Linked DNA regions of Anolis sagrei. The protein of the gene in region 3 interacts with the protein of the main gene of each other region in a pairwise test. Links are inferred from orthologs where the notes say so. Each region holds a gene or a part of one and is shown on either strand. Other genes may lie near its edges.

Region 1 (10,698 bases), on a different chromosome or scaffold from region 3:
GGCACACATTATTCAGGGTATTTTTTAAAAAAAAATCATTATTTTTCAAAGGAAAGTAATTGTAGAATAATTTCCCCACCTTTGAAAACCACTATCTTTCTATCAAACCTTCAATCTCTCTCTATCTCTGTTCCTGGCCTGCCTTGTAAATCACTGCATTTCCAGGAATAGTTAAATCACATCTGTAATACATTTTAAAAAACAGCCAAAGGGTTGGGAAAAGGTGTCGTAGTGTCACCTTCAAAGGGGTTTGACCAAGTTGGTGGGCTAAAAGTGGTATATATGCCCTCCATGTGTGGTGATTTTCACCCCTCTAGCCCTAAAACTGAAGGGAGAGGGAGCCTGGGAAGCCCTCCCATTGCTGCCAATGGTCCAAAAATGTTTGTTCTTTGAGATACAGCACAAAAACGCCCATTCGGAAAGGCACCCATTTTCAGAAGTGGTGCTTGAAAATGAAAACAGGGCCATACAAATGAAACAAACAGAAACAGGTAGTGATACTATACAAATGCACAAAACTACTTTCCACAGTGGACCAATCCTGATCTCCAGATTGTGCAAATCACTACCACATGGTAGCATAAAGCCATTGAAATGAATAGGATTTGTTAGTCTCCACTACCTGGAACCAATATTAGATTCAATTTCTATCCCCATAACCAAAAATGTCTGTCATAAGGCCTGCTCCCAGAGATGACTCTCATTATTCCTGCAAACTTCTACATTTTCCTGTGTAGTCTTAACAATTCTGACTTTTTGTTGTGGTGAGACATTGAACAGCAGAGAAATCCTCAACTCTTCACTGAAGTCCATTTTTATTGGATCTTAGCCCCCAGTTTTTTAGCCATTTCACTGAGCCTCTCTCAGGTCTAAGGGCCCTTCCACACAGCCCTATATCCCAGAATATCAAGGCAGAAACTCCCACAATGTTTGCTCTGAACTGGGTTATCTGAGTCCACAATGACATAAACTCCAGTACAAAGCAGGTAATGTGGGAGTTTTTCAGCTCTGTGGATGGGACCTTGGTCTCTTTTATACGTTTTTCTGTCCAGTTACCTAAAGCCTCATGGTGGCCTAAGAGTCTTCATAGAAAGGAGTGGAATGTCTCTTTTTTGTAGATAGATGCACTCCTTTTTGAGATAACCTCAGGACCACAAGCCCTTAATGGGTGAGACCAAAGCCAACACAAACCCATAATGGGTACACTATCCTCCTTCCCCATTGTCTCCCCCTCTACTTCCCCAGCCCCATCCTCTCATCAGGGATCTGACAGCTTACAGACAGCTCTGGAAACCAGGACAAAGGATGCAGATTGTCCAAGCATGGTCTAAAGAAATTACAGGTTGAACATGCAAAGGATTTTACTAAGACAAGAGAGGCACGAGGAAAATGTGTCATAGCAAGTCCTAGAAAAGGAGTTCCTTATAAGAGGCTTTAGGGGATTTTTACCTGCTTGTAGTTATAGATTTCTCCATTGTAACACAGCCACAAGTAGGGAAATTTCTTCACTCGTAGAGGCTGCATTCCATACAGCTGGTCCACAATTGCCAGACGATGGAAGCCAAAACAGCAGTTGGTGAATCCATTGACATTCTCAAATCGGAAAGCATCCGGGCCTCGGTGTGCTATTTTCATGGCACACAGACACTGAACAGAGAGGCATCCATCGCTCCCAAAAAGAGCCCAAATGCCACACATGATGATGTAGATTCAAGGCTGTTGGAGAAGAAATAATAACAAGAACAGCAACGTGATGCGGTGACCAAAAGAAAAAAGCAAATGCAACAGTAAGCTGTACCGACAGAAGTCTAGTGTCCAGATCATGGAATAGTAGAGCCACTCTATTCTGCTTTAATCAGAGCTCAACTGAAATACAGTGTCCAATTCTAAACACCATTGTTCAAAAAGCCACCACAAAGCAGGGTTTTGGCCTCGAGTAAGCTGAAATGGGCCTATATGAGGCAGACACTTTGGCACTTTAGTTGTGATTTAAAGGCTGGTCTGAGTTTTAAACTGTATTTTTATTTTATTTTATGTATTAATAGTGGTTGTTTTTATAACTTTTATGTGATATTGTTTTTATACTCATGTACCGTTTATATTATATACTACACTTGCAGTGTCTTGTAAGCTACCCTGAGTCCCTTTTGGGAGATGGGATATAAATAAAGTTTTTATTTATTTATTTATTTATTTATTAAGAGGATTGAAGATTTGTAAACAGATATGTTTAGCTGGATATGTCTAGCTTGAAAAAGAGAAGTAGAATTACAATCATCTTCCAATATCTGAAAGAATGTCATATACAGTCACCTCTTCACATTAGGGATGCAGGAGCCTATTGGAAATGGAAATAAAATGACTTTTTAACCTGAGAGAACACTTCTCTAGCAATTTCTAGGACTTCCAAGCAGACTCTATGGTCAAGTTTGAGTAGAAGTTGGCCACAGAATTGAAATGAAGATCCCAGAGATTCCTAAAAAGTTCATATCAATAAAATCCAATGTGCAAAAGTTCAATCTGTAAACAAGGAGGGATAATGGTAGAAAATGAAGTTAGCTTATTTTTTTACTGCTCCAGAGACCACATTTACCAGCGGATCTACACTTCACATTCAGCAAAGGACAAGAAGGATCCTCTCACCTCTGCAGGAGTCTACCGTACACCATGCAGCTGTAGACAAGGCTACATAGGGACCACCAAACGCAGGATTGCCCAAACATGAATCAAAGACCATGAAAGGCACATCACACTAATTCGACCAGAGACGTCAGCCATAGCAGAACACCTGATGAACCAACCTGGACACAGCATATTATTTGAGAACACAGAAATGCTGGACCACTCTAACAACTACTATGTCAGACTACACAGAGAAGCCATTGAAATCCACAAGCATGTGGACAATTTCAACAGAAAAGAAGAACCATAAAATGAACAAAATCTGGGCTACCAGTATTTAAAAAAACTCTAAAATTATAACAGTAATTAAAGAACAAAGCTCAAACACTGGGGAACTCCAGACAAGAAACAATCAGGGCCAGTTAACACCTCTCAACAATGGATTCCCCCAGGCAGGAAGCAGCCAAGCCTTGAAGCTGAAAAACTATTCAATGCTAATCAAGGTGATCAATTGCAGCATTCATACTTGCCTCAAACAGACAAGAGTTCTTTCTCCCATCCTGGACATTCAACAGATATATAAACCCCACTTGCCTTGTTTCCAACAGACCTCACAACCTCTGAGGATGCCTGCCATAGATATGGGTGAAACGTCAGGAGGGAATGCTTCTGGAACATGGCCATAAAGTCCAGAAAACTCACAGCAACCCAACAGAGAAAATCAGCTGTGAAGAACTGGATAGAAATGTCTTCCTGGGCTCAATGACTTAGCAATTGACACATTACACACTATTTGTAATAGTAATATTAGAAAATTTTGACCATTTCCGCTACCTTGGCAGCCACCTTTCCACAAAAGTCAACATTGACACTGAAATACAACACTGCCTGAGCTCTGTGAGCATTTTTCTGAATGAAGCAAAGAGTGTTTGAGGACCGAGACATCCGTAGGGATACCAAGGTGCTTGTTTATAAAGCTATTGTCCTCCCAACCCTGCTATATGTCTGCGAGACGTGGACTGTTTACGGATGTCACATGAAACTCTTAGAACAATTCCATCAGCATTGCCTCCAAAAAAAAATCCTGCAAATCTCTTGGGAAGACAAGCGGACATGATGGAAGAAGCAAAGACCACCAACACTGAAGTGATAGTCATCCACCATCAACTCCGCTGGACCAGCCACGTTTTCCGGATGCCCGACCACAGTCTCCCAAAGCAGTTGCTCTACTCCTAACTCAAGAATGGAAAACAGAATGTTGGAGGACAGGAAAAGAGATTTAAAGATGGGCTCAAAGCCAGCCTTAAAAACTCTGGCATAGACACTGAGAACTGGGAAGACCCGGCCCTTGCATGCTCCAGCTGGAGGTCAGCTGTGACCAGCAGTGCTGTAGAATTTGAAGAGGCACGAATGGAGGGCGAAAGAGAGAAACATGCCAAGAGGAAGTCGTGTCAAGCCAACACTGACCGGGACCGCCTTCCATCTGGAAACCAATGCCCTCACTGCGGGAGAAGATGCAGATCAAGAATAGGGCTCCACAGTCACCTACAGACCTACCACCAGTACACAGATCTTGGAAGACAATCCTACTCGGACAATGAGGGATCGTCTAAGTAACACGCTATTTGAGTCGAAGTAACCTATGGCGCTGTATTGTTACAGTGTTATTATTCCACTTTAACTGACACAGCAACAGTATCTGGAGTCCTGCGATGTGTGGTTGAGGCAATGGCATTTAATGGTCTTGGTGGCGTTACAGGTCTTGGGCATCACTAAATCCATAGGATATTGTCATGGCATTTGGAGTGGAATAAGAGCACTATAATAGCATATGCTAGGAAGTTCGGGCTACAGGTCAGGTTCCAATATCCATTCCTTACCAAGTGTATTAGTTATCCCACTAAAAAAAGAACTGGAAAACTGGACTGCAAGGAATTCAACAGGTGTAGCTTTCCTCCACCTTTCCTGTGATGCGGAGAAAGTAAATTATACTGTAGAGCAGGTATGGGAAAACTTGGGTCTTCCAGGTGTTTTGGACTTCAACTCCCACAATCCCTAACAGCCTCAGAACCCTTCTTTTTCCCCCTCAGCCGCTTAAGCGGCTGAGGGGGAAAAAGTAGGGTTCTGAGGCTGTTAGGGATTGTGGGAGTTGAAGTCCAAAACACCTGAAGGGCCCAAGTTTGCCCCTGGCTCAATGCTATGGAATCATGGGCACTGCAGTTTGACAAAGTCTTTCGCCTTCTTTGCAAAGTTCTGGTGCCTCATCGAATTCCCTGGATCATTCTCATACCATAGAGCAGTTCAAGTGATATCAACCCGCATTAATTCTACAGTGCAGACATGCACCTGTGGAAGCCCAGAGTTTGGGAATAAACTGTCCTAAGAGGCATAAACTCATAAGTTTGGGAATAGAAAGGATACCGAAAGCTTACATGGAGACAAAATGATCCAAGGAGGGAGATAATATATTATTACTACCATTATTAGTATTGAAAAGGCTATCCCTTTCTTACCTGAGCTCAGAGGAGGAGGAGGAACACAATTGCTTCCGCACTAGAAGAGCAGTTGGCAGGAGACTTCCACGCCTCCAATTCATCCGTGTGTCAACCGAAAGCGAGAAGGGGAAATCTGGCAAGCCTTCGGTAACACGAGGCCGGATTGCATCAGTCCTGAGCTCCGCCTCCCGCTTGCAAACTGGCAACTGATTGCCTCCCAGGGCTACCCACCGAGCAAGCGCTTCCCAGGAGAGAAACTAGGTTGCGACCAAAGCCGGCTGCCACTCATGCCTCTGGTCCCGCCCTCTTTCCTAAGCAGGGCATCGACATCAGGCATGGGCAAACTTCAGCCCTTCCTCCAGGTGTTTTGGACTTCAACTCCCACAGTCCTAGGCTTGGACAGCACCAGCATCCATTTCTGTAATGATCAAGTTCTCTGGAGCTTTGGGTTGCTGTGAGTTTGTATAGCCATGTTCCAAAAGCATTCCCTCCTGCTCGCATCAATGCATCCTCAGAGGTTGTGAGGTCTGTTGGAAACTAGTCAAGTGAGATTTATATATCTGTGGAATGTCCAGAGTGGGAGAAAGAACTCTTGTCTGCTTGAGGCAAGTATGAATGTTGCAATTGGTAGATTTCTCTCATTTCCTGTTGTCTCACCCCCGGCTGCACCCCCGAAAGGATCAAGGCAGTGACATCTCCAGCTCATCCCCTGTTTGGATATCGGCCAGCACCTCAACGACTTAAATCAAGAAATCATTTTCTAAGATCTACAGAGACACTCGCTGGAACACCTCAGCAAGCAAGAGTCCAAAAGTGGCGGGCTCAAACCCAGAACCTCAATCAATGGCTGATACCAAATGAGAGACTCCCCCCTGGACACACAAAAAACTGGGCGACTTGGAAGGTGCTCTCTGACACCACGAGAAGCAGAGCCAACCTTAAGAAATGGGGCTAGTAAGTGGAATCCACGACATGCGAGTGTGGAGAAGAGCAAACTACAGACCACCTGCTGCAAAGCAACCTGAGCCCTGCCACATGCACAATGGAGGACCTTCTTGCAGCAACACCAGAGGCACTCCAAGTGGCCAGCTACTGGTCAAAGGACATTTAATCAACTACCAAGCTTGCAGGGGCGGCTCAACCCATTACACAAAGTAAGCATTTGCAGTATAGTTGATTTTGCCCAGGGGCGCTCTTGAGGCACTCTTGGGGGAAAATAGACCTTGACATTTGCGAGTTGTAGTTACTGGGATGTATAGTTCACCTACAATTAGAGCATTGTGAACTCCAACAATGGTGGAATTGAACCAAATATGGCACACAGAACTCCCACAACGAACAGAAAATATATATCAGTGATTGGTTGGGGGGGCGGGCTAGGGCCACCTCTGCCAGCTTGCAAACTTTATGTTTTGTTTGTTAAAAATGCAACACAATTGTTTGGTCTGCTCCTGACATGATAAATAAACCCCCGTTCTTAACTCTGAATCATTTGTAAATCAGATGTTTGTAACTCAGGAACTGCCTGTAATCCAGTGTCTGATTCCAGATTATCAACGTTGAACTGAATTATGAGTCTACACTGTCATATAAATCAGTTCGAATCTGGATTTCATATGGCAGTGTAGATAAAGCCTGAGGGAATCCTGGGATATGCAGTTTGGAGAGAGAAGCTTGAATTTCTGCTGCAGTTCAAGAGAATTGGAGCTCTATAACAATCAAACAATTTCCTTCCTAAATTGTATATCTCCTGATTCCCTAGGCTGGAGCCATGGAAGCTAATGTGATAGCTTACCTACCTACTGTATCGCATATAACAACAAAACAACAATATTTATTATGGTCCATAGACCCATCAGTGAAACAGACAATCATTTCTAAATTCTCACAACTCAGAAGTTCATTCTACCAAATATCAGATACATCTGCATTGTTTCAAGTCATACCCCTATTGGAGGTTTCTTTCTTTCTCAGTCTTGTTGCCACTGCAAGGAATTTTGCCACTGCAAGAGTCACCCTGTAGCATTTATCCTCGCATATAATTTGACCCATGGATCAGGCCCATATAATATGGGGGACATCTGCTTCAATCAGCCAGGACTAGGTTAGCAACTGTCATCCAAATATTTTTTTTTTCTTCATCTGCCCCTAGACTGTGGAATGATCTGCTGGAAGAGATTTGACAGCTGCATCCGCTGTCTGAATTTAAAACAGGATGAAAGACCAGTCTCATCTGGAAGGCATATCCCGATTATTTTCAAATTGTGAAGTTTAAAGGATGGACTGATTGTTTTAGTATCTTTTGGTTTTACTTAACATCATGTGTTTATAAGAACATGTGTTTTTAAACTGATGTTATGTGTCAGATTTTAATGGTTCCCCCATCTCATAGGAAAAGGCAGATGATAATAATAATTCCTCTATGATTCAGTAGTGTGGATAGTTGCTTCTTTCTCCAGACTGATGTGAACTTGTAGTGACAGCCCCAGGGTGCATCTACATCTGTAGAAATAAAGTATTTTGACAGCACTTTAACTGCCACAGCTTAATGCTGTAGAATGCAGAGACTTGTAGTTTTATCAAGGTCTTTAGCCTTCTCAGTCAAAGTGCTGGAGCCTCATCGAACAACAATTTCTGGGATTCCATAAAATTGAGCCATGGCAGTTAAAGTGACATCAAACTTCATAGTGTACAATAGTGTTTCTCAACCTGGGGGTCAGGACCCCGGGGGTGTGTGTGTGTGTGTGTGAGGAAAACACATTTCTGATGGTCTTATTAACCTCTTTGCCAGAGAAGGCTGAAAATCTCTCCACCTGTCCTTCTCTTCTTTTTTGGTGTTGGTTAATTACAACTCCCAGAATTCAAAAACAGCCCCCCCCCCCATCCCACCAGTATTCAATGTTGACCATGTAGGTGGTGTTCAGAGTTTGATTCAGATCCATTGTAGCCTGAGTTCAGAGTGCTCTTTGATTGTAGGTGAACCATAAATCCCAGCACTTACAAATGTCAAGGTCTATTTCCCCCAAACTCTGTCAGTGTTCACATTTGGGCATATTGAGTATTTGGGCCAAGTTTGGTCCAGATCCATCATTGTTTGAGTTCATAGTGCTCTGTGGAGGTAGGTGAACTACAACTCCAAAACCCAAGGTCAATGCCCACCAAACCCTTCCAGTAATTTCTGCTGCTCATGGGAGTTTTGTGTGCCAAGTTTTGTTCAATTCCATTGTTGGTGGAATTCAGAATGCTCTTTGATTTGGGTGTATTGGGTATTTGTGCCAGTTTTGGTCCAGTGAATAAAAACACATCCTGCATATCAGATATTTACATTACAATTCATAACAGTAGAAACATTACAGTTATGAAGTAGCAACAAAAATGTTATGGTTGGGGTCACTATAACATGAGGAACTGTATTAAAGGGTTGCGGCATTAGAAAGATTGAGAAATACTGGTGTAGAAACACCCTCTTTTTATGAAAAAAAAAAATCAAAGAGTGAAGTCAAATTTGAATGACAACATGAAGGTCTAAGAGTTTCCTTCTGGCACCGTATTAGAAAAGTTACCGGTTGGACCACATGACATTGTGACACTGGCCAATTTAGCAGAGGAAGTCAGGCAGTTGTTAAAAGAAAATAACTTTTCTATGGTCTTGTCTCCAAAAGAAAGTAGTATAACGAGTTGAAGGCTGTGTAGCTGGATGAAACTGCAAAATATGTGCTGATCTGAGTCCTTGTGTTAGCCATCTAAAAGTTTTATTTGTGTTGCTGCCAAAACGTTTGGAACCAAGCCCTTCACAGCTGTTGCAGTAAGTCGTGCACATGTTGAATCGATTTGATTAGCATGTTTGACTTATTTATCGCCCTGAAAGAAAATGCAATAAAACGAATGAATGGCAGTTGTTTACAATGAGCTACATTTGTACTGCTATCGCTCAGTCTCCAGACAGACAGATTCATTTAAAGTTCTTTTCAGGTTTTTCCAGATTCTACCATTCTGAGTTATGCTCTACTATCCGCTTGCTAACTAAAACTCTGTTTTACTTTCTACTTCTGACCCAAATTCACTTATGAATAAACCAAACAGTTCCTTCTGGTACATGTCTTTAGAAACCTGCTGCCTACTACTATACTCCATTACAAATACTATAATGATGTTGTTGCTCCCTATTTTTATCCAGTTTTCCCAATCTATATAATTATTTGACTGTTCCTTATTAGAGATAATAGCCAAAACCCTTTTGGAAAATCCATGTTACCAATTACTGGAGATGTTTGATGAATTGTCGAAGGCTTTCCTGGCTGGAATCATGGGGTTGCTGTGAGTTTTCTGGTCTGTATGGCCATGTTCCAGAACTTTCCTGACATTTTGCCTGCATCAATGGCAGACATCCTCAGAGGTTGTGAGGTATATTGGAAACTAGGCAAGAGGAGTTTATATATTTGTGGAATGTCCAGGGTGGGAGAAAGAACTCTTGCCTGTTGGAGGCAAGTGTCAATGTTGCAATTGTCCACCTTGATTAGCATTTAATGGACTTGCAGCTTCAAAGCCAGGCTGATTGCTGCCTAACAATTACCAACTACAACGTCGGACTATACATAGAAGCCACTGAAATCCACAACAGCTAATCTTCCAAACAAAGGATTCCCCCAGGCAGCAATCAGCCAGGCTTTGAAGCTGCAAGGCCATTAGATGCTAATCAGAGTGGCCAATTGCAACATTCACACTTGCCTCAAACAGACAAGAGTTATTTTTCCCATCCTAAACATTCCACATATATATAAACCCCACTTACCTAGTTTCCAACAGACCCCTCAACTTCTGACAATGCCTGACATAGATATGGGTGAAACGTCAGCAGAGAAGCCTTGTGGAACATGGCCATAAAGCCCGGAAAACTCACAGTAGCCCAATTACTGGAGAACTGGGAGCCTTACTATGTGAGCTCTGACAGCATTCAATAGAACTGAATTTTACTCACTTTCAGTTAAATCTGTTTTGCATGTAATTAATAATTGTTGTGAATGATAGCCCCCACCATTCTCTCTTTTTTTAAAAAAAAATACCATTGTCTGGATATGCATATCCACACATAGGTTTGGTTATCCCACATATAAACTATTAACAAATCTTAATATTCATCATGGTACAATTTACTACATATGTAAAGTGAAACTATTAGGACAAAAGCAGCAGTCACATCATTCCGTCACAAGGTAGAGCTATTGCTTTGGCAGTCAAAGCTCAACTTTGTTTGTATAGGATTATGTGGACACTTTCAACGTTTCTATATTAAAGAGTCTGTATTTGACAACATCCTTCAAAAGGCTGAAAAAATGTTTATTTTACCAATAAATTAATTATTTTTAGACTGTTTTTAAAGCTGACTAGTAGCCAGACTTGATGCTGATGTCCCAAAGGAGAAATAACAGTGTGTCTAACTGTAGTCTTTTTCAAACTGAGAAGCCATTTCAAGAGAGAATTATTAAGAATGAATGTTTAACCCTTATCTTTCCCAATATTTTCCTGTTCAAAATCATTGTTGGTGACATTTCGTAAGTAGCTTTCCCCCTTTTCCCAGAAA
Region 2 (10,714 bases), on a different chromosome or scaffold from region 3:
GGAGGGATGGAAAGAAAGAAGGAAAGAGAGAAGGAAGCATGGAAGTAAAGAGCGAAGGAAGGAAGGAAAGAGGTAGATAAGGAAGAAAGGAGAGAAAGAAAAAGGAACAGAAAAAAGGGAGAAGGAAAGAGGTAGAGAAGGAAGGAGAGAAGGAAAGAAAAAAGGAAGGAAGGAAAGAGGAAGCAAAGGAAGGAGAGAAAGGAAGAGAGAAAGACAGAGGGAAGGAAAGAAAGTAAGAGCTAAGGAAGGAAGGAAAGAGGTAGAGAAGGAAGGAAGTGGGAGGGAGGGAAAGAAAGAAAGAAGGAAAGAGAGAAGGAAGCATGGAATCAAAGAGCAAAGGAAGGAAGGAAAGAGGTAGAGAAGGAAGGAAGGAGAGAAGGAAAAAGGAACAGAAAAAAGGAAGGAAGGAAAGAGGAAGCGAAAGAAGGAGAGAAAGGAGGAGAGAAAGACGGAGGGAAGGAAAGAAAGTAAAAGAGGAGGAAGGAAAGAGGTAGAGAAGGAAGGAAGGAAGGAAGGAAGGAAGGAAGGAAGGAAGGAAGGAAGGAAGAGGGAGGGAAAAAAAGAAGGAAAGAGAGAAGGAAGCATGGAAGCGAAGAGCAAAGGAAGGAAGGAAAGAGGTAGAGAAGGAAGAAAGGAGAGAAAGAAAAAGGAACAGAAAAGGGAGAAGGAAGGAAAGAGGTAGAGAAGGAAGGAAGGAGAGAAGGAAAGAAAAAAGGAAGGAAGGAAGGAAAGAGGAAGCGAAGGAAGGTGAGAAAGGAGGAGAGAAAGATGGAAGGAAGGAAAGAAAGTAAGAGAGAAGGAAGGATGGAAGCAAAAAGCAAAGGAAGGAAAGAGGTAGAGAAAGAAGAAAGGAGAGAAAGAGGAAGGAAAAGAAAAAGGGGGAAGGAAGGAGAGAAAGAAAGAAGAAAAGGGAAGGAAAGAGAGAGTGAAGGAAGGAGAGAAAGAAGGAGAGAAAGAGGGAGGGAAGGTTGACCACAGCAATGCGTGGCAGGTACAGCTAGTCTGAAAATAAGCAGCAACAAATACAAACCTATTTTGATAATTAAACCTGTGTTACTTTAAGTTAAGTTTGTCTTTGTCTTGATGTACTTTCAGTGACTGTATTGCACTATTAATATCAAGTCAATACAGAGTTCATGGCATGGTACAATATGGGGTATGGTATTTGTTACACCTATTTTTAATAGCAACTCCCAAGCAACCAGAAACTACATGTATCCAGCACCTATCATTCCCCATGGTTGCCTGTTAACTGAGAGTCTATGTACATCTGAAAAGAATGGTCCAAAACAGCATCATAATGGCACTACTTGGAAACAGCATCAATAGCCAACAATAGGGTCATGGATAGTATTTGTATCACTGATGGTCCATCATTCAATCCATCTGTGTATATTATATGTGCCTTCATGATGCCTGTATTTATGGCAATTCCATGAATCTCAGAGGGTTTTCTTAGGGAAGGAATATTCAGATATGGTTCTGCCAATTCCTTCTTCTGAAATATAGAACCTGATATTCATTGGCAGTCTCCCATCCAAGCACTAACCAGAGGTGACCCTACTGAGCCTCCAAAACCAGACAGGATTTGGAGTATTGTAGGATACTTAGCATTTAATAAAAGTGATAGCCCAACCCCACCTTGCTGCTGTCAATATCTGTGTATTGATTTCCAGATGCATTTGAAGTCAAAATGCGCAAGAGACAAGAGTCTAGCAACCCAAACACCCCTGCTGCCTAGCAAATTAGGAGGCGGTGTTTTGATTTTCAGATATACTGGGAAAACATACATTTCTAAGTCGAGTCTGGTTGCAAAATATGGGACAACCCCAGCCCACCACACTTCCTGATGTCTTGGAAGGGGGAACTGATTTCTAGAAAGATAGGCACAGTGAGAAAGATAACTATAAAGCTACATGCAGTTTGCAAATCGTCTGGAAAGGGTCTGCTAATTGGTTTTCAGGTACGTTGGAAAGAGACAAATCCCTGGAGACAAGGAGTTGGCACCTTGAAAGTCAGCGACGCACTAAGAGTGCATCTATACCAGGTATGTGCAAACTTTGGCCCTCCAGGTGTTTTGGACTTCAACTCCCACAATTCCTAACAGCCTACCGGCTGTTAGGAATTGTGGGAGTTGGAGTCCAAAACACCTGGAGGGCCAGAGTTTGCCCATGCCTGATCTATACAGTTGAATGAATGCAGTTCAACACCATTTGAGCTGCCATGTCCAAATGCTATGGAATCATGAGATTTGTAGCTCAGCACCAACAGAGAAGAGAAGGCTGCAGACCTTGTAAAACTACAACTCCCATTGAGCTATGGCACTTCAGGTGGTGTCTAATTGCCTTTATTCTACAGTATAGATCAGTGTTTCTCAACCTTCCTAATGACACGACCCCTTAATACAGTTCCTCATGTTGTGGTGACCCCCATCCATAAAATTATTTTTGTTGCTAATTCATAACTGTAATTTTGCTCCTGCTATGAATCATCATGTAAATATCTGATATGCAGGGTGCATTTTCATTCATTAGACCAAATTTGGCACAAATACCCAATACATCCAAATTTGAATACTGGTGGGCTTGTGAGGTTGGGGGGAGAATTGATTTTGTCATTTGGGAGTTGTAGTTGCTGGGATTTATAGTTCACCTACAATCAAAGGGCATATTGAACTCCACCAGTGATGGAATTGAACCAAACATGGCACACAGGACTCCCACGACCAACAGAAAATACTGGAAGGGTTTGGTGGGCATTGACCTTGAGTTTTGGAATTGTGGTTCACCTGTACCCAGAGAGCACTGTGGACTCAAACAATGATGGATCTGGACCAAACTTGGCATGAATACTCAATTTGCCCAAATGTGAAAACTGGTGGAATTTGTGGAAAATAGACTTGACATTTGGGCGTTGTAGTTGTTGGGATTTATAGTTCACCTACAATCAAAGAGCATTTCGGTTTTGATTATGCTTTCTTGCCCTGGTGAAGGGAGTTGGACTGGATGGCCTTAAGACAGCATTTCTCAACCTGGGGGTTGCGAGGGGATGTCAGAGGGGTCACCAGGTACCACCAGAAACACTGTTGGTCATGGGGGTTCTGTGTGGGAGGTTTGGCTCAATTCTATCGTTGGTGGGGTTCAGAATGCTCTGTGATTGTAGTTGAACTATAAATCCCAGCCACTACAACTTCCAAATGTCAAGGTCTATTTTCCCCAAACTCCATCTGTGTTCATATTTGGGCATATAGAATATTTGTGCCAAGTTTGGTCCAGATCCATCATTTTTTGAGTCCACGGTGCTCTCTGGATGTAGGTGAACTATAACTCCCAAACTCAAGGTCAATGCCCACGAAACGAGGGGATGAGGAGCAGGGCCTTCTCGGTGGTGGCCCCTCACCTATGGAATTCACTCCCTGGGGAAATTAGATCATCGTCATCCCTCCTTTCCTTTAGAAGGAAATAAAAAACATGGATTTGGGACCAGGCGTTTGGGCAATCTGCCAGATAAATAAAGGACAACGACGACTGATAGGAATGGAAAATGTGGAATGAAGTTATGGACTCTGAGTTGCGAACGTTGAGCATAAGATTGTTTTTTTATTGACTGTGATATATATTGATTGTTTTTAACTGTTAAAACTGTTTTAATTGCTGTCTATTTTTTATCTGTATTACTGTGTAGGCCTCGAATTTTGCCTTTTTGTAAGCCGCCCTTAGTCCCCCCTTGGGGGTTGAGAAGGGCGCGGTAGAAGTACACGAAATAAATAAAATAAATAAACCCTTCTAGTGTTTTCTGTTGTTCGTCATGGGAGTCCTGTGTTCCACATTTGGTTCAATTCCATCATTGTTGGAGTTCAGAATGCTCTTTGATTGTAGGTGAACTATAAATCCCAGCAACTACAACTCCCAAATGACAAAATCAATTTTTTTTGAGTGAAGGACATACATTGGATTGTTAGGTGTCTTGTGTCCAAATTTGGTGTCAATTCATCCAGCCGTTTCTGAGTTATGTTAATCCCACAAATGAACATTACATTTTTATTTATATAGATTGCTAGCCTTAAGGAGAGGCAGGTAGTGAGTAAAATTATTATTGTTATCATCATCATTAGCATTTCCATGAACATTGCTAGCATTGCGGAGAGAGAAATGCTGAAAACCAATGGGGAAGGAGATATATTTTTGTTTTAACAAAAACCACTGGATGAAAACTAACAAAATGAAGTTCAACAGTTCAACAAGTGACCCCTTGCCACTTTGGCAGGAAAAACGAAATGCAAAGATACAGAATGGGGGAGCAGTACATGTGAAAAAGATCTTGGAGTCCTTGTGGACAACAAGTTAAACATGAGCCAACAATGTCATGTGGCGGCAAAAAAAGCCAATGGGATTTCGTCCTGCATCAAGAGGAGCATACTGTCTAGATCTCGGGAAGTAATGCTACCCATGCTCTATTCCGCTTTGGTGAGACCACACCTGGAATATTGTGTCCAATTCTGGGCACCACAACTGAAGAGAGATACTGACAAGCTGGAATGTGTCCAGAGGAGGGCGACTAAAATGATCAAAGGTCTGGAGAACAAGCCCTATGAGGAGCGGCTTAAGGAGCTGGGCATGTTCAGCCTGAAGAAGAGAAGGCTGAGAGGAGATATGATAGCCATGTATCAATATGTGAGAGGAAGCCACAGGGAGGAGGGAGCAAGCTTGTTTTCTGCTTCCCTGGAGACTAGGACGCAATGGAAGAATGGCTTCAAACTACAAGAGAGGAGATTCCATCTGAACATGAGGAAGACCTTCCTGACTGTGAGAGCCGTTCAGCAGTGGAACTCTCTGCCCCGGAGTGTGGTGGAGGCTGCTTCTTTGGAAGCTTTTAAGCAGAGGCTGGATGGCCATCTGTCAGGGGTGATTTGAATGCAATATTCCTGCTTCTTGGCAGAATGGGGTTGGACTGGATGGCCCATGAGGTCTCTTCCAACTCTGTGATTCTATGATTCTATGCTGCACCCAGCCTTAAGGAGAGTATGGCAAGGAATCAAACCTGTTGTTGTTATCCTTGCAAGGACTGCTGGGAATCATTGGCAGGCTTTCTGCAGGGAGGCAGGGCAGTGCCTTCCTTGGGCAAGCCCTCTTTCCCTCCCTCTCTCTTCCCAAATGCTGCTGCCTTCTTCTCTGCTGCTGGGCGAACCCCCTTCAGGAAGGGAAATTCCCCAGGTGAGTGTCAACAGGAAGTTGTGCAAGGCGCTCACCTGGGCGCTCAGGTCACCTGGGAAGGTTTAACTCGGCGCAGGCAGAACGAGAAGCAGCTGCTTCAGAGAAGAGACGAAAGGAGGAAAGGAGCTCCTGTTTTCTCTCTCAAGAAGGTAAGAAAGCTCCCTTTCTTTTCCTCCATTGCTGCCCACGTTGCAGATTGTCCTGCCAACTGAGGAGCCATGCCAGGCAGGCAGAGATGCAACAGGTAGAGTTGCATCTACCTGCCCTCTCTTTTGAACTCCCAGGATCATTTTTTCTTACTAGCTCAAAACTCCGATTCCCATTTTCCCCCTTTCCCCAGCTATCAGGTCTCCAAGAGCTGCATGACAGGTAGAAATCCAACAGGTAGGGTGCCTGCTTTCTCTTTTCAACTCCCAGAGCATTTTTCTTAGTTGTGCATGGCTTCTATTCCTCTTTCTCTCCTTTCTTTGGCTATCAAGTCTCCAAGAACTACCTGGCAGGTAGAAACTTAATAGGTAGAGTGATTGACCTCTCCCTCTTTTAGACACCTAAGTCACTTTTTTCTTAGTGGCAGAAGGCTCCCATTTCCTTTCCCCCTACTTTCCGGATTATCATATGTGGCAGGCAGAAATCCAACAGGTAGACTGACAACCCTCTCTCTTTTAGATACCCAGGTCTTTCTTCTATTCCCTTCTATTCCCATTTTCCCATGCTATCAAGACCCCAAGATTTGTGTTGCAGGTAGAAATCCAACAGGTAGGGTGCCTGCTTTCTTATTTCAACTCCCGGATGATTTTTCTTAGTAGTGCATGGCTTCTATTCCCCTTTCTCTGGCTATCAGGTCCCCAAGAGCTGCCTGGCAGGTAGAAACCCAACAGGTAGAGAACTTGACCTCTCTCTCTTTTAGACACCTAGGTCACTTTTTTCGTAGCAGCAGAAGGCTCTCATCCCTTTCCCCCACCATTTTCCGGATTATCATGTATGGCAGGCAGAACTCCAACAGGTAGGGTGGCAACCCTCTCTCTTTTAGACACCTAGGTCTGTCTTCTTAGTTGTGCAAGACTTCTATTCCCATTTTCCCATGCTATCAAGACCCCAAGATTTGTGTTGCAGGTAGAAATACAACAGGTAAAGTGCCTACTTTCTTTTTCAACTCTCAGAACATTTTTCTTAGTAATGCATGACTTCTATTCCCCCTTCCCTGGCTATCAAGCCCCAAAGACCTGCCTGGCAGGTAGAAACCCAACAGGTAGAGTGCTTCACTTCTCCCTCATTTAGACGCCAAAGTCACTTTTTTCTTAGGAGCAGAAGACTCCCATTTCCCCAACTTTCCAGATTATCATGTCTCCAAGAGCTGTGTGGCAGGCAGAAATCCAACAGGTAGGGTGGCAACCCTCTCTCCTTTAGACACCTAGGTGTGTCTTCTTAGTAATGCAAGACTTCTATTCCCACTTTCCCTCGCTATCAAGACTCCAAGATTTGTGCTGCAGGTAGAAATCCAACAGGTAGAGTGCTTGCCCTGTATCTATTTTCAAAGATGTCCTAGGTCATTGGTTCTCATAGAAAGCTGGAAGAAAATACAAGTTTTTGGACACTTTCAAAACTTATTGGCTTATTTTCACCTATGCTTGTCTCTGAAAAAAGGGCAAAAGCTTTGATTTAAGGTTAGCTTTTAAGGTGCCACGAAAGTCCCCATACAATAATAATAACAATAATAATAATAATAATAGAATACAGAAATAATAATAAAATCCCCTTTTCCTTCCCTTTTTGTCCCATACCCAGTAGAGAAGGGCAGAGAACTGTATGGCCTTCGGAAATATAGGGACCGGAACCCAAAGTATTCCTCACAACTGGCTCTGCTGGTCAGGGATGATGGGAATTGTTGTCCAAGGACATCTGGAAAGCTCCAAGATTCCTTCTCATGATAGATGGAGGGCCAACAGAAAAATGTAACTTTTCTTTTGACGAGAACACAGGATCGTTGGATTGAGTTAGGAATAATCGCTCAAGACTTAAGGGATCATGGGTTGCTGTGAGTTTTCTGGGCTGTTTGGCCATGTCCGAGAAGCATTCCCTCCTGACGTTTCACCCACATCTATGGCAGGCATCCTCAGAGATTGTGAGGTCTGTTGGAATCTAGGCAAGTGAGGTTTATATATCTGTGGAAGAATGTCAAGGGTGGGAGAAAGAACTCTTTGTCTGCTTGAGGCAAGTGTGAATGCTGCAATTGATCACCTCGATTAGTATTGAATAGCCTTGCAGCTTTAAGGCTTGCCTGCTTCCTCTCTGGGGGAATCCTTTGTTGGGAGGTGATTAGCTGGCCCTGATTGTCTGGAATTTCCCTGTATTTGAGTGTTGTTCCTTATTTACTGTCCCGATATTAGAGTTTTTAAATACTAGTAGCCAGATTGTGTTGATTTTCATGGTCTCCTTCAAAGAGTTGGAAGAGACCTCATGGGCCATCCAGTCCAACCCCATTCTGCCAAGAAGCAGGGATATTGTATTCAAATCACCCCTGACAGATGGTCATCCAGCCTCTGTTCAAAAGCTTCCAAAGAAGGAGCCTCCACCACTCTCCGGGGCAGAGAGTTCCACTGCTGAACAGCTCTCACAGTCAGGAAGTTCTTCCTCATGTTCAGATGGAATCTCCTCTCTTGTAGTTTGAAGCCATTGTTCCATTGCGTCCGAGTCTCCAAGGAAGCAGAAAACAAGTTGCTCCCTCCTCCCTGTGGCTTCCTCTCACATATTTATACATGGCTATCATGTCTCCTCTCAGTCTTCTCTTCTTCAGGCTAAACATGCCAGGCTCCTTAAGCCGCTCCTCATAGGGCTTGTTCTCCAGACCCTTGATCATTTTAGTCGCTCTCCTCTGGACACATTCCAGCTTGTCAATATCTCTCTTGAATTGTGGGGCCCAGAATTGGACACAATATTCCAGGTGTGGTCTAGATGGCTGGGAGGACAACAGATGGAGAATATACACTTCCCAGAATAGGGCCTGGATTATCATATGTGAAAAAGAAACTGCATTTTTCCCCTGGGTTATATTGACTGCGTGCCAGATTCTCCACCAAGAATCACTTTGTGATTAGCATACATATAAAAAACTATAATATTTTGGTTTTTTTTCCAAGTGTTGTATCACTTGATTCACTATCCAGACTCAGATTTTAAAAAAAAATAAGGATTACTAATGCTTTACAAAAAATACTGCATAAATAATGTGGATTTTGGAGGTCTCCATTAGTGACGATATACATGAATTGGAGAATATGGTTAAGGAAGATGTTGTGTGCCTTCAGGCCCCCTGTCAACATATTGATTGTGTTATTGTGATTGTGTTTATTGGAATGTTATTTTGTTACTGTATTTGGTTTTTTTCTTTTTATGTAATTTTGATGATGTTGCTTGTTGTTTATGTTTTGGTTTTATTTTGCTGTAATATGTTGTCTGGGCTTGGCCCCATGTAAGCCTCTCCAAGTCCCCATTATTATTATTATTATTATTATTATTATTATTATTATTATTTGGCTGTGGATGGTGAGATCCGGACTTTGGATACCAGAACCCAAAGGCGCGGATACCAAGTCTGTTAGGCAGCCGCCAGAACCGGTCTACAGCCAATATTCCAGGTGTGATCTACAGCCAAAGCAGAATAGAGGGGTAGCATGACTTCTCTAGATCTAGACACTATGCTCCTATTTGGCCTGCATCAATAGGAGCATAGTGTCTAGATCTAGAGAAGTCATTCTCCCCATGCTCTATTCCGCTTTGGTTAGACCACACCTGGAATATTGTGTCCAATTCTGGGCACCACAATTCAAGAGAGATATTGACAAGCTGGAATGTGTCCCGAGGAGGGCGACTAAAATGATCAAGGGTCTGGAGAACAAGCCCCATGAGGAGCGGCTTAAGGAGCTGGGCATGTTTAGCCTGAAGAAGAGAAGGCTGAGAAGAGATATGATAGCCATGTATAAATATGTGAGAGGAAGCCACAGGGAGGAGGGAGCAAGCTTGTTTTCTGCTTCTCTGGAGACTAGGACGCAATGGAACAATTTCTTCAAACTACAAGAGAGGAGATTCCATCTGAACATGAGGAAGAACTTCCTGATTGTGAGAGCCGTTCAGCAGTGGAACTCTCTGCCCCGGAGTGTGGCGGAGTCTCCTTCTTTGGAAGCTTTTAAACAGAGGCTGGATGGCCATCTGTCAGGGGTGATTTGAATGCAATATTCCTGCTTCTTGGCAGAATGGGGTTGGACTGGATGGCCCATGAGGTCTCTTCCAACTCTTTGATTCTGTGATTCTATGTTGTCCGGGCTTGGCCCAATGTAAGCTGCTCTGAGTCCCCATTGGGGAGATGGTGGTGGGGTATAAATAAAGTTTTTATTATTATTATAATTACCCCTCTGATACCCCCTTGCAACCCCCCCCCCAAGAGTCCCGACCCCCAGGTTGGGAAACACTGCACTGGACGGCTGTTGACCGGTGCTGGTGGCCACCTAAGAGACTCGGTATCTGCGCCTTCAAAGTCCAGATCTCATCATCCGTGGACCGTTTCAAATTGCTTTATTTCAATATGGCAACCCATGAATTTTATCGAGTTTACCCGACATTCATGATGGTCTCCCACCCAACTGCTAACCTGGGCTGACCCTGCTTATCTTCCAAGGTCACTTGGGTTTCTAGTGCCTCTGATCTGGAATTGTTTCCAACATTTCAAAAGTCAACAGATTTTAAAAAGGGAATTCAAATCCAGTATTGGTTCTTTTTAAAAGTCCTTTCAGTTGACTTTCAAAACACTATGGACAGTGTTCATAGAAGTGAACGGCAGACTTTGGAATGCAGAGGCGTGTTCAAATATATGAACAGAGTTTTCTTAATGGGATGGAATTCTGCTTTGGAAAGGAGATGTTTGCAGAACTTCTTGGCTTGCTTTTCCAGTTTGTAGAATGAATGCAGTTTGGCAATATGTTAACAGCCATGCCTTGGTGCTATGGCTTCCAGGGAGTTGTAGTTTTGTGAGGCAGAGAAGGCAAAGTACCTTGCAAAACTACAATTCATGAAATTAGATAGTGCTGCACAATGGGAGTTAAAATGGTGTCAAGCTGCATTACTTCTACAAAGTTCAGTTCAACAATATGTTAACTGCCGTGGCTTAGTGCTATGGCTTCCAGGGAGTTGTAGTTTTGTGAGGCAGAGAAGGCAAAGTACCTTGTAAAACTACAAATCATGAAATTCGATAGTGTTGCACAATGGCTGTTAAAATGGTGTCAAGATGCATTACTTCTACAAAGTGCAGTTTGACAATATGTTAACTGTCGTGGCTTGGTGCTATGGCTTCCGTGGAGTTGTAGTTTTCTGAGGCAGAGAAAGCAAAGTACCTTGTAAAACTACAATTCATGAAATTCGATAGTGTTGCACAATGGGAGTTAAAGAAGTGTCAAGCTGCATTACTTCTACAAAGTTCAGTTCAACAATATGTTAACTGCCGTGGCTTA
Region 3 (11,067 bases):
TACAACAACCCAGTGATTCCAGCCACGAAAGCCTTCGACAATACATAGACCTGCTTTTGTTATATCTATTTTATTTTTCACCAGAATCTTAAGATCCACCAGTGAAACTCTGGTGCAAAAGACATCCAGGAATTCATTCTGAGTGCTGATTGGAGTTTCCCGTTCTTCCATGCACCAATCATTCATAGTCATCCCACATTTTCTTCATATGGGATGAATAGGTAGAATAATTTTGCTCACCTACTATGAACCACTCCTTGATTTCCTCATACCATATGCATACCATACTTTGCAAATGACAAAATATTAACTTGCTATTACTAATTTACAACTTACCTTCTCTCTTTCTCTCTTAAAAAGAAAAAAAAGCCTTCTATGGAAAATAAATAATCTTGAGGCCATTCTGTTGAAACATTCATATCAAAAAGAATGGTTTCCATAGACTGGAACCAAAGCAGTTAAAAGATGTCAAACTGCATTAAGTCTGCAGTGTAGATGCAACCTGAGAAGACCCTCTTATTAACCAGTACTTACCTTTCTATAAAAACCTTGATTCCCTGTCAGAGAGAAAAAAGGAAAAAATGTGTGAAAATTGCCTTTTAAAATAAATAGTTGTACAATATCACTAGGACTATGCTGAAATTATATATGCATTCATAGATCATATATATGGTCTCAGTTAACTCTCTTTTTTAATGTGAGGTGTTTTCTAACACCAAGTGAAAGGAAGTGGCCAGTCTAGTGTCTGTGACACTCTGGGATCAATCCAGAGCGAGACTGCATTTCGAATTCTTACTTTCAAGAAGCTAGCCGAATTCTGCTGGTACAGCCGGGCCTGAATGCAAACCAGAGTATCCTTAGCACTCTGGGTTCGGTCTTGGAGTCTGTTAATATTCGCTTCCATCTCCTGAAGCAGGATTTCACTCTCTTCCTTTAACTGGTTGATTAACTCCTTTTCCTTGCTATGAAGAAATTGGTGCAATTTTAGGAATTCCAAGGAGATATGGTACTGGAGCTGCAATTTGTTCTCCTGGAAATAAGAAAAGTAATTAGATTACGCAAGCAGGACTGGTGATAGATACTACAATGGGCCTTCCACATTTGCTGGAGTTAAGTGGGCAGAGACCTCATAAAAGCTGAACAAGTGCAAATAAAACATCCTCTGAATACTCTACAGCAGCTCTATTGTCAACTTTGGCCACTGGAAGACCTCCAAATATTTAGGAAGTGTTCTCGTTAGGAATTTCTAGGTCTTCCCATGCAACGCTATCGTCAACCTCTGTTGGAAGTTGACTGTAGAATTGCACCGGAGGACCTAATGATTCCTATAGAGCACATATTAATCAAATCCATGAATTATCAAATCCACAAAATCCACTGAAGTGGATTCATAGAATCATGGAATCCTAGAGTTGGAAGAGACCTCGTGGGCCATCCAGTCCAACCCCATTCTGCCAAGAAGCAGGAAAATTGCATTCAAAGCACCTCTGACAGATGGCCATCCAGCCTCTGTTTAAAAGCCTCCAAAGAAGGAGCCTCCACCATACTCCGGGACAGAGAGTTCCACTGCTGAACAGCACTCACAGTCTTCCTCATGTTCAGGTGGAATCTCCTTCCTCTCCTGTAGTGTGAAGCCATTGTTCCATTGTGTCCTAGTCTCCAAAGCAGCAGAAAACAAACTTGCTCCCTCCTCCCTATGACTTCCCCTCACATCTTGATCCATGGCTATCATGTCTCCTTTCAGTCTTCTCTTCTTCAGGCTAAACATGCCCAGCTCTTTAAGCCGCTCCTCATGGGGCTTGTTCTCCAGACCCTTGATCATTTCAGTCGCCCTCCTCTGGACACATTCCAGCTTGTCAATATCTCTCTTCAATTGGGGTGCCCAGAACTGGACACAGTGTGATTCCAGGTGTGGTCTAACCAAGGCAGAATAGAGGGGTATCATGACTTCCCTAGATCTAGACACTATACTCCTATTGGTGCAGGCCAAAATCCAGTTGGCTTTTTTTGCCACCGCATCACATTGTTGGCTCATGTTTAACTTGTTGTCCACGAGGACTCCAATATCTTTTTCACACATACTGCTTTTGAGCCACATGTCCCTCTTTCTGTATCTTTGCATTTCATTCATGATACTGCATGGCAGAAATTGCTTTCTAAAGTTTTCTGAATAATAATTCAGGAGCCGAAAATGGGGAAATACAATTTTTGTTTACTCAACACACCTTGAAGATTGGTTTTCAGTGGGTTTAGGCCAACATTTGGTCCCTCTGATGTTTTGGACTTCAACTCTCAGAAGTCCCAGCCAGCATACCAGCTGTTAGGAATCGTGGGAGCTGAAGTCCAAAACACCTGGAGGACTAAAGATTGGGAATCACTGGTTTAGGGTAATGTCATGTGGTGGTAAGTTGGTTTTTTTTTTTAATCTAGGGAGCCAACATCTGACAGCTTCAGGTGATAATGTCCCCAGTGTGTTCCTTTGCTTCAGAAGTACAAAACACAAGTTTCCATCACCTAAAATACTCAACAGTAAGATATTCAAGTAGAGATCTACTGAATCAATGATACTCACTTTGTGGTTACTGATCTTTTCTTCCTGGGCATTCTTCAACACCTCCAACTTCACCAAGATGGATCTGAGCTGAATTCTCATCATGAGCAACTTTTCCTGTGGGTAAATAGTCACAAAGAATGTTATAGAATAGGTAAGTCATCACACCTAAGTAAAATAGTGACATCAACATTTTCAATTTGGACATTCAATGAATAATTCTATATTTAACTTCTGTCAATTTTATATGTTTGGTTTTAAATATGTTATTGTATTTTTAATGTTTTCAATGTTGATATACTGTATTTTATGTGTGGTGTGGCATCATGTGTGCTATATATAAGACGTACCAAGTCCCTATGGAAGATGGTGGCATGGTATAAATAAAATATTATTATTATCAATAATAATAATAATAATAATAATAATAATTCTATTACATTTTCTCTCTATCTATCTATCTATCTATCTATACTGCTGATAGATAGATAGATAGATAGATAGATAGATAGATAGATAGATAGGCATTCTAGAGAATCTTTATTAGGTGGATGCTTTCCTGGTGTTTTTTTGGCCTAGGATACATTCATAATAATAATAATAATAATAATAATAATAATAATAATAATTCCATTACTCTATCTATCTATCTATACTGCTTATATACCTTGGAAATTCATACTTGGCCATGGTGGTCCATGCTCTTGTCACATCTAGGTTAGATTACTGCAACGCCCTCTACGTGTGGTTGCCTTTGAAGACTGCTCGGAAGCTTCAAATAGTCCAGTGAGAGGCAGCCAGGCTAATAACTGGGGCGGCGTACAGGGAGCACACAACTCCCATGTTACACCAGCTCCACTGGCTGCCAGTTTGCTACTGGGCACAATTCAAAGTGCTGGCTTTGGCCTATAAAGCCCTAAATGGCCCCGGCCATTTACCTATCCGAATGCATCTCCCCCTATGAAACACCACAGAGATTAAGATCTTCTGGGGAGGCCCTGCTCTCGGTCCCACCACCATCACAGGCGCGTTTGGCAAGGACGAGAGACAGGGCCTTCTCAGTGATTTTTTTAATACCGGTAGCCAGATTTTGTTCATTTTCATGGTTTCCTCCTTAACAAAATCTGGCTACCAGTATTAAAAAACTCTAAAATTAAAACAGCAAAACAGCAGAGGGAAAACAATCAGGCACATCTAATCACCTCTCAACAAAAGATTGCTCCAGGCACTGCCAGGCCATCAAAAGCTAATCAAGGTGGTCAGTTGAAACATCCACATCTAGCTCCAACAGACAAGAGTCCTTTGTCCCACCCTGGTCATTCCACCGACATATAAACCAATTTTCCTCGTTCCAACAGTCCTCACTACCTCTGAGGTAGATGCAGGCGAAACGTCAGGAGAGAATGCCTCTAAAACATGGCCATATAGCCCGAAAAAGCTACAACAACCCAATTTTTTGGGTGATGGTCACTCCTTGGGTGAGTAGGTGTCTTGTGGCCAAATATGGCAGTGATTCGTTCAGTGGTCTTTGAGTTATGTTAATTCCACAAACGAACATTACATTTTTATTTATATAGACTGGTGATGGCATGAGAGTTACCGTAAAGATCTGTACAGCATCTGGAATGAGAAGGAACTGTGTGCATTGCTCTTTGGGTAGCAGAGTTTCCCGGCAGGTGAAGCAGGCGAGTTTTTCTTGCGTCTTCCAGTAGAGAGTCATCGGCTCGCTGTGTTCGATGCACTTCTGTTGCAGGCACCCCACGTGGTAGGTCTTAATCCTATCCGCCATCTTCTCCAGGGCGGTGTTCGAGATGTACTTTCGATCGGGGACACTCGCGTGGCATTGTGGACAGAAGATGCCCTTTTTCTTCCATAAGTCTTCTAGGCAATCCCTACAGAAGTTATGGCCACAGGACAGGATAACCGGGTTCTTGAACAGTTCTAGACACACACCGCAGGACAATTCCTTGGTGAAATCATCCGCATGCAGCTCCCATGACGTATCGGAAGGACCCTGGAAGATTGGTCTTTCGTGGATTGAAACAAAGGAGGACGTGGAAGGGTTTTTGCTGGTAGAGGTGGACATGGTCTCAGAAAGAAAATGCTTAAAGTTGCTGCTCTGTCAAGGGGAAAAAAGGAGTGGAATTAAAGTTCAATCTTTATGTCAATGTAGAAGTGTTTTTCATAACTTTGAAATATACGAGGGTTGAATGAAAAGTAATGCTTCCACCTTCATAACTCCTCAACAGATGGCAGTACTGCTATGCAGCAGGTACTGGCTTGTTCAGTAGACTCTCCTCTACAGTTCCATTTTGGCAGGAAGCCTTAGCAGAAAAGTAATGGCTCCACCTTCGTAATTCCTCAACAGATGGCAGTTCTGCTATGCGGCAGGTACTGGCTTGTTCAGTAGACTCTCCTCTACAGTTCCATTTTGGTGGAAAGCCTTAGCATTGAACAGTTGTGTTGTTAAAGTGCTAAGTATGGAACCCTGCGCAGACGGTCGGTCAATGCAACTTAAGCAACGTGCAGTCATTGAAGGTGTCACCCCACAGGAGATTCATCTGAGAATGCAAGTTGTTTATGGTGACTGTGTTGATGTGAGTATTGTGTGTCACTGGGCAAGTAAGTTTGAAGATGTTGAGGTGGCATCTTCTGCTGTCAAGAATTCAATGCCTACACGTTGCTTAAGTCATATTTACCGACTGTCTGCGCAGGGTTCCATACTTCGCACTTTAACAACACAACTGTTCAATGCTAAGGCTTCCTGTCAAAATGGAACTGTAGAGGAGAGTCTACTGAACAAACCAATACCTGCCGCATACCAGTACTGCCATCTGTTGAGGAGTTATGAAGGTGGAGGCATTAATTTTCATTCAACCCTCGTAATAATGATTGATACTCATGTAAAGAAATTGTAGACAGGAGTATGGCTGCCGTATGTCGTTTGACATATGGAGCCACGTTTGCGCAATGAGTTAAGCCCTTGTGCTGGCTGAACTGCTAGTCTGAAGGTCGGCGGTTTGAATCTGTGAGACAGGGTGAGCACCCATCTATCAGCTCTACCTTCCCATGCGAGGACATGGGACTATCTTAAAACTATTTCTTACCTCTCCCCAGTTTATGTATTTAATTGCAAATCCATATGAAGATTTTGATGTGATACAGAACAATAATAACACATGCAATTTTTTTTTAAATCATGTAAGAAACAAAGAGCAGCTATCTATAATCTATATGGCAAGGTAGAAAATACATTAAGTAAGCTTACAAAATAAGTCATGAAAATTGGGAACTGCCATTTGTCTATTGATAGGTAACTATTGCTTGGGGCTGAGATATGCTAGAAGTACTATTCTCATGTTCTATGGTGGGTGGGAAAGAGCCTAAAGACACCCCAGACAATTAAGTATCTGTCCTGGATTTGAATTAAAGAGATTGTCAGCCATCTATCTGGGCATTTGGCATTAATATTACATTGGAAAAGTGTGGCCAGAATTATTAGCATCAGAAATGAGCTAGATGCTAATCCTGGTTTAGACCGAGTTCAGCAACATCTATATAAATAAAAATGTAATGTTTGTTTGTGGGATTAACATAACTCAAAAACCACTAGATGAATTGACATGAAATTTGGACACTAAACCCCTAATGGACCAATGAGTGACCATCACTCATAACCCCCCTCCCCAAAGAAAACCAGCAGCAGAAAGGACTTAAAAATCAAAACAAGCTAAATGACAAAAAGCTAAATGACAATGCAGAAAAAAAGGGAAGGAAGAGGGAGGGAAGGAAGAAAGGGGAGAAAGGGGAGAAAGAAAGAAAGAAAGAAAGAAAGAAAGAAAGAAAGAAAGAAAGAAAGAAAGAAAGGGAGATAGAGAAGGAAAGAGGGAAAGAAGGAGCGAAAGAGGGAGGGAAGGAAAGAAGGGAAGAGAGAAGGAAGGATGGAAACAAAGCGAAGGAAGGAAGGAAAGAGGTAGAGAAGGAAGGAGAGAAGGAAAGAAGAAAAAGGAAGAAAGGAGACAGGGAAAGAGAAGGAAGGATGGAAAAAGTGAAGGAAGGAAAGAGGTAAAGGAGGAAGGAGAGAAGGAAAGAAGAAAGAGGAAGGAGGGAAAGAGAAGGAAGGATGGAAACAAAGCAAAGGAAGGAAAGAAAGAAGTAGAGACGGAAGGAGAGAAGAAAAGAAGAAAAAGGAAGGAAAGAGAGAAAGAGAAGGAAGGATGGAAACAAAGCGAAGGAAGGAAAGAAGGGAAGGAATAGAGAAGGAAAGAAGGAAAGAGAGAAGGATGGATGGAAACAAAACAAAGGAAGGAAGAAAAGAGGTAAAGAAGGAAGGAGAGAAGGAAAGAAGAAAAAGGAAGGAAAGAGGGAGCAAAGGAAGGAGAGAAAGGAGGAGGGAAGGAAAGGATGAAAGAGAGAAGGAAGGCTGGAAACAAAGCAAAAGAAGGAAAGAGGTAAAGAAGAAAGGAGGAAAAGGGGGAGAGAAAGAAGGAGGGAAGGAAAGAAGGAAAGAGAGAAGGAAGTATGGAAACAAAGCGAAGGAGAGAAGGAAATAGGTAGAGAAGGAAGGAGAGAAGGAAAGAAGAAAAGGAAGGAAGGAAAGAGGGAATGAAGGAAGGAGAGAAAGAGGGTACAGCATGGTGGGTACAGCTAGTTATTAAATATTTTCATAGTAAGGCTGAGAGTGCTCCTCTTTTGCGTTCCTGTTTATTTCCCTGTTCATTTCTTACTGACTCACCTTTTATTTTTGAGCTAGCCTTGTCCAAGCAAGTCCTTATCCTTTTCTAGACGGTCCTTTTCCCCCCCTAGTCCATTTCTTACAGATTCACCTCTGTTTTTGAGCTAACCTTGTCCAAGCTGCTCCTTCCAGCTCTGCCTTTCTATTAGGCAGCTTTAGAATCCTATGACATAACTGCCACTGGCCAATTGTTTTCCTGAAGGTTCTACCTGGCTTCCAATGATTCTTTTCCGCTCTTTCTCTGAATGACAAAGATCTTGAAGTGAGGCCTCAATTCACATCTCAGGCCAATGAATGACCATCACTAATTAAAACACTGAAAAACACAGCAGAAGGGACTAAAAAGCAAAAAATCCCATAAAAATACATTACAACACATGCGCAAAACCACACATACACTTTATTTCCTTACTTACTTAGGCGATCCCTCGTTGTCTGAGGATGATGGTCCTCCAGGGTCAGTGTGTAGTATGCCGTGGATCTGTACGTGACTGTGGAGTCCTATTCTTGATCTGCATCTTCTCCTGCAGTGAGGGCATCAGTTTCCAGGTGACAGGCGGTCTCGGTCAGGGTTGGCTTGATGCACCTTCCTCTTGGCATGTTTCTCTCCTTCACCCTCTATTCTTCCCTATTCAAATTCTGCAGCACTGCTGGTCACAGCTGACCTCCAGCTGGAGCGCTCAAGGGCCAGGGCTTCCCAGTTCTCAGTGTCTATGCCAGAGTTTTTGAGGTTAGCTTTGAGCCCTTCTTTCAATCTCTTTTCCTGCCCGTCAACATTCCATTTTCCGTTCTTGAAGAGTAGAGCTGCTTTGGGAGACGGTGGTCAGGCGTCCAGACAACGTGGCCAGTCCAGCGGAGTTGATGGCGGAGGACCATCGCTTCAGTGCAGGTGGTCTTTGCTTCTTCCAGCATGCTGACATTTGTCTGCTTGTCTTTCCAAGAGATTTGCAGGATTTTCTGGAGCAACGCTGATGGAATCATTCCAGGAGTTGCATGTGACATCTGTAGACAGTCCACGTCTCACAGGCACACGCACACACATACACACATATACACACATATATATACATATACACAAATATATACACATATATACACACACAAAACACATATACACAGACTGGGCCACAGCAATGTGTGGCAGGGGACGGCTAGTTTGTAATAAGATTTGATTGACTCTGTTGTTGTTGTTTATTTGTTCAGTCGCTTCCGACTCTTTGTGACCTCCTGGCCCAGACCAGGCCAGTGCTCCCTGTTGGCCGTCACCTCCCCCAGCTCCGTCAGAGTCAAGCCAGTCACTTCAAGGATGCCATCCCTCCATCTTGTCCTGGGTAGGCCCGTCTTCCTTTTTCCTTCCATTTTCCCCAGCATCATTCCCTTCTCTAAGCTTTCCTGTCTTCTCATGATGTGGCCAAAGGACTTCATCTTTGCCTCTACTATCCTTCCCTCCAGTTAGCAGTCTGGCTTTATTTCCTGGAGTATGGACTGGTTGGATCTTCTTGCGGTCCAAGGCACTCTCAGAATTTTCCTCCAACACCACAGTTCAAAAGCATCTCTCTTCCTTTGCTCAGCCATCCTTGTGGTCCAGCTCTCAAATCCATAGGTAACTACGGGGAATACCATTGCTTTAAATATGCCGATCTTTGTTGCCAGTGTGATGTCTCTACACTATTTTATTGAGATTGGTCATTGCTCTCCTCCCAAGAAGGAAATGTCTTCTGATTTCCTGGCTTCAGTCTGCATCTGCAGTCATCTTTGCACCTAGAAATACAAAGTTTGCCATTGTCTCCACATTTTCTCCCTCTATTTGACTCTAGATATCTCCAAAGCACACAGGCAATGTGGAAACACACAGCCCTCCACACCTGGGACTTGAAGTCGTGTCACACCTTACTATTGTCTCTGCTGATGCAGCTTAAGTGACCTCTGTTCTCAACATATGGAAGTTTGGGATCTTTTCCTCCTTGGATGCCTACCTGTAAGTGGAGAGGGGAGGAGTCCAGGATGGCCTGAAAGAGCCATGAGCAAAAAAAATCTTCTGATGGGTACCCTCCAACATAAATGGGCTTAGTCTAATTTTGGCTATGAAAGGTACTTGAATTTATAATTCTCAGGTAAAGGTAAAGATTTTCCCCTGACATTAAGTCTAGTGATGTCCAACTCTGGGGGTTGGTGCTCATCTCCATTTCTAAGCCGAAGAGCTTAGACACCTCCTGTTGTGACTCAGCTTGAATCACAGAGTGATGGTATCAATGATTCTGATGGAGATGATGAGATTCAGATTCAGAGTCAGATGCAAAGCAAGGATGTTCCTGTGTTAGACGAGGATACCAGGACCAGGGGGCAGGAGTTCATTTGTTTCCCACAGCAAGGGTTGACGCTGGGGAAAGTGAAACTACTGAAAGTGAGAACCAGGTGCCTGATGAAGGAATGTAGGAAGGGAGGATCATTCTCAGCCAGCTAATGAGGGATTTGACTTCGATGGGGCCGGTGGTTTAGATAGAGTTGATCGCTTGGAATTGAAAGTGCAAAGGAGTGTCAGGATCACCGGAAGGCGAGAGAGAGAAAGAGGCCCGAGGCCATAGGAACGCCTTCATCCTGGCCCAGGATTAAACAGACTGTTTGAATGTGCCTCAGTGTCAGAGCAACTTCACGCTTCAACCAAGAGACTTTGGATTTATCTTGCAGCTTTTCATGCTCATGTTTCAGGACTTCGTCATGTTCTCATGGGACCTTGCCTTGCCTATGCCTTCATGGATCTTGTTTGCCTATGTTACTTTGGATTGATCTTTTGAAATATACTTTTGCTTTTTGAACCTTTTATCTTTTCTTTTAATAAAACTACAAAGACTACTGCTGGTGTGTTCTTTGGTGTCATAAGCAAGGTGGTTCTACTCTGAGGTGCGACACCTCCAAGGTCATGTGGTTCGCATGACTGCATGACCGCCGTTACCTTCCCGCTGGAGTGGTACCTATTGATCTACTCACATTTGCATGTTTCGAACTGCTAGGTTGGCAGAAGCTGGAGCGAACAACAGGAGCTCACCCCGCTCTCCAGATTCAAAGCACCAACCTTTTGGTCAGAAAATTCAGCAAATCAACAGTTTAACCCACTGCACCACTGGGGGCTCTTATAACCCCCAACATTGTACCAATCTGGAGCCTGAGGATAACTTAAAACCAGGTTATGTATTAGCATTGGGTCTTCCATTGCCAACTTAGTGGTACCTGAGAGCTGCCCAAAGCTGTCCGGAGCTGGTGTATATATTCCATGGTAAAACCGTCACAGCAGTGAATTGATAAGATTTTTAGATCTCAGTTGCGAAAGTGGAATTGCTAGTGAGATGCAAGCTGCGAGTTTCTTCCAAAAGACCAAAGCAAACTTGAGTGGGCAGCAGAAGATCACCGAGGGATTGCCAAGATCAAAGGAGAACACAAAGTGAATTTCTTTGCTGGATCAGGTCAAGGGAACATCTAGTCCAGGAATGGGTTTCCCACTGTAACGGAGATGATATCTGAAGCAACCTTGAGTCATTTTCCTTGCCAACCCTCTTCCCCCACAGAAACTGATACTCATATTTGGCTAATTGTGCCGGTGTCGGCCACATCCATACGTCTCCAATGAAGTTTTACTAGCCATCCTCTACCACGCATTGCTGTGGCCTAGTCTGTGTATATGTGTTTTGTGTGTGTATATATGTGTATGTGTGTGTGTATATATATTTGAATATATGCGTATATATGGGTGTTTGTGTATATATATGTGGTTTTGTACATGTGT

Evidence for each region.
Region 1: the proteins of TRIM69 (region 3) and ASNS interact in binary tests that used the Homo sapiens proteins (3 or more experiments, as listed by UniProt). The two-hybrid records come from large-scale screens. The link is inferred for Anolis sagrei from reciprocal best matches to the Homo sapiens genes TRIM69 and ASNS.
Region 2: the proteins of TRIM69 (region 3) and FAM110A interact in binary tests that used the Homo sapiens proteins (3 or more experiments, as listed by UniProt). The two-hybrid records come from large-scale screens. The link is inferred for Anolis sagrei from reciprocal best matches to the Homo sapiens genes TRIM69 and FAM110A.

What each region holds. Positions count from the first base shown.
Region 1 is NC_090026.1:100,056,468-100,067,165, reverse strand, and holds the start of ASNS (asparagine synthetase [glutamine-hydrolyzing]), read right to left. Parts: upstream 5,364-10,698; 5' UTR 5,136-5,363; intron 1,717-5,135; 5' UTR 1,699-1,716; coding exon 1,450-1,698; intron 1-1,449.
Region 2 is NC_090024.1:240,806,231-240,816,944, forward strand, and holds the start of FAM110A (protein FAM110A), read left to right. Parts: upstream 1-5,204; 5' UTR 5,205-5,362; intron 5,363-10,714.
Region 3 is NC_090029.1:25,770,323-25,781,389, reverse strand, and holds the start of TRIM69 (E3 ubiquitin-protein ligase TRIM69), read right to left. Parts: upstream 4,638-11,067; coding exon 4,152-4,637; intron 2,669-4,151; coding exon 2,573-2,668; intron 1,031-2,572; coding exon 797-1,030; intron 558-796; coding exon 535-557; intron 1-534.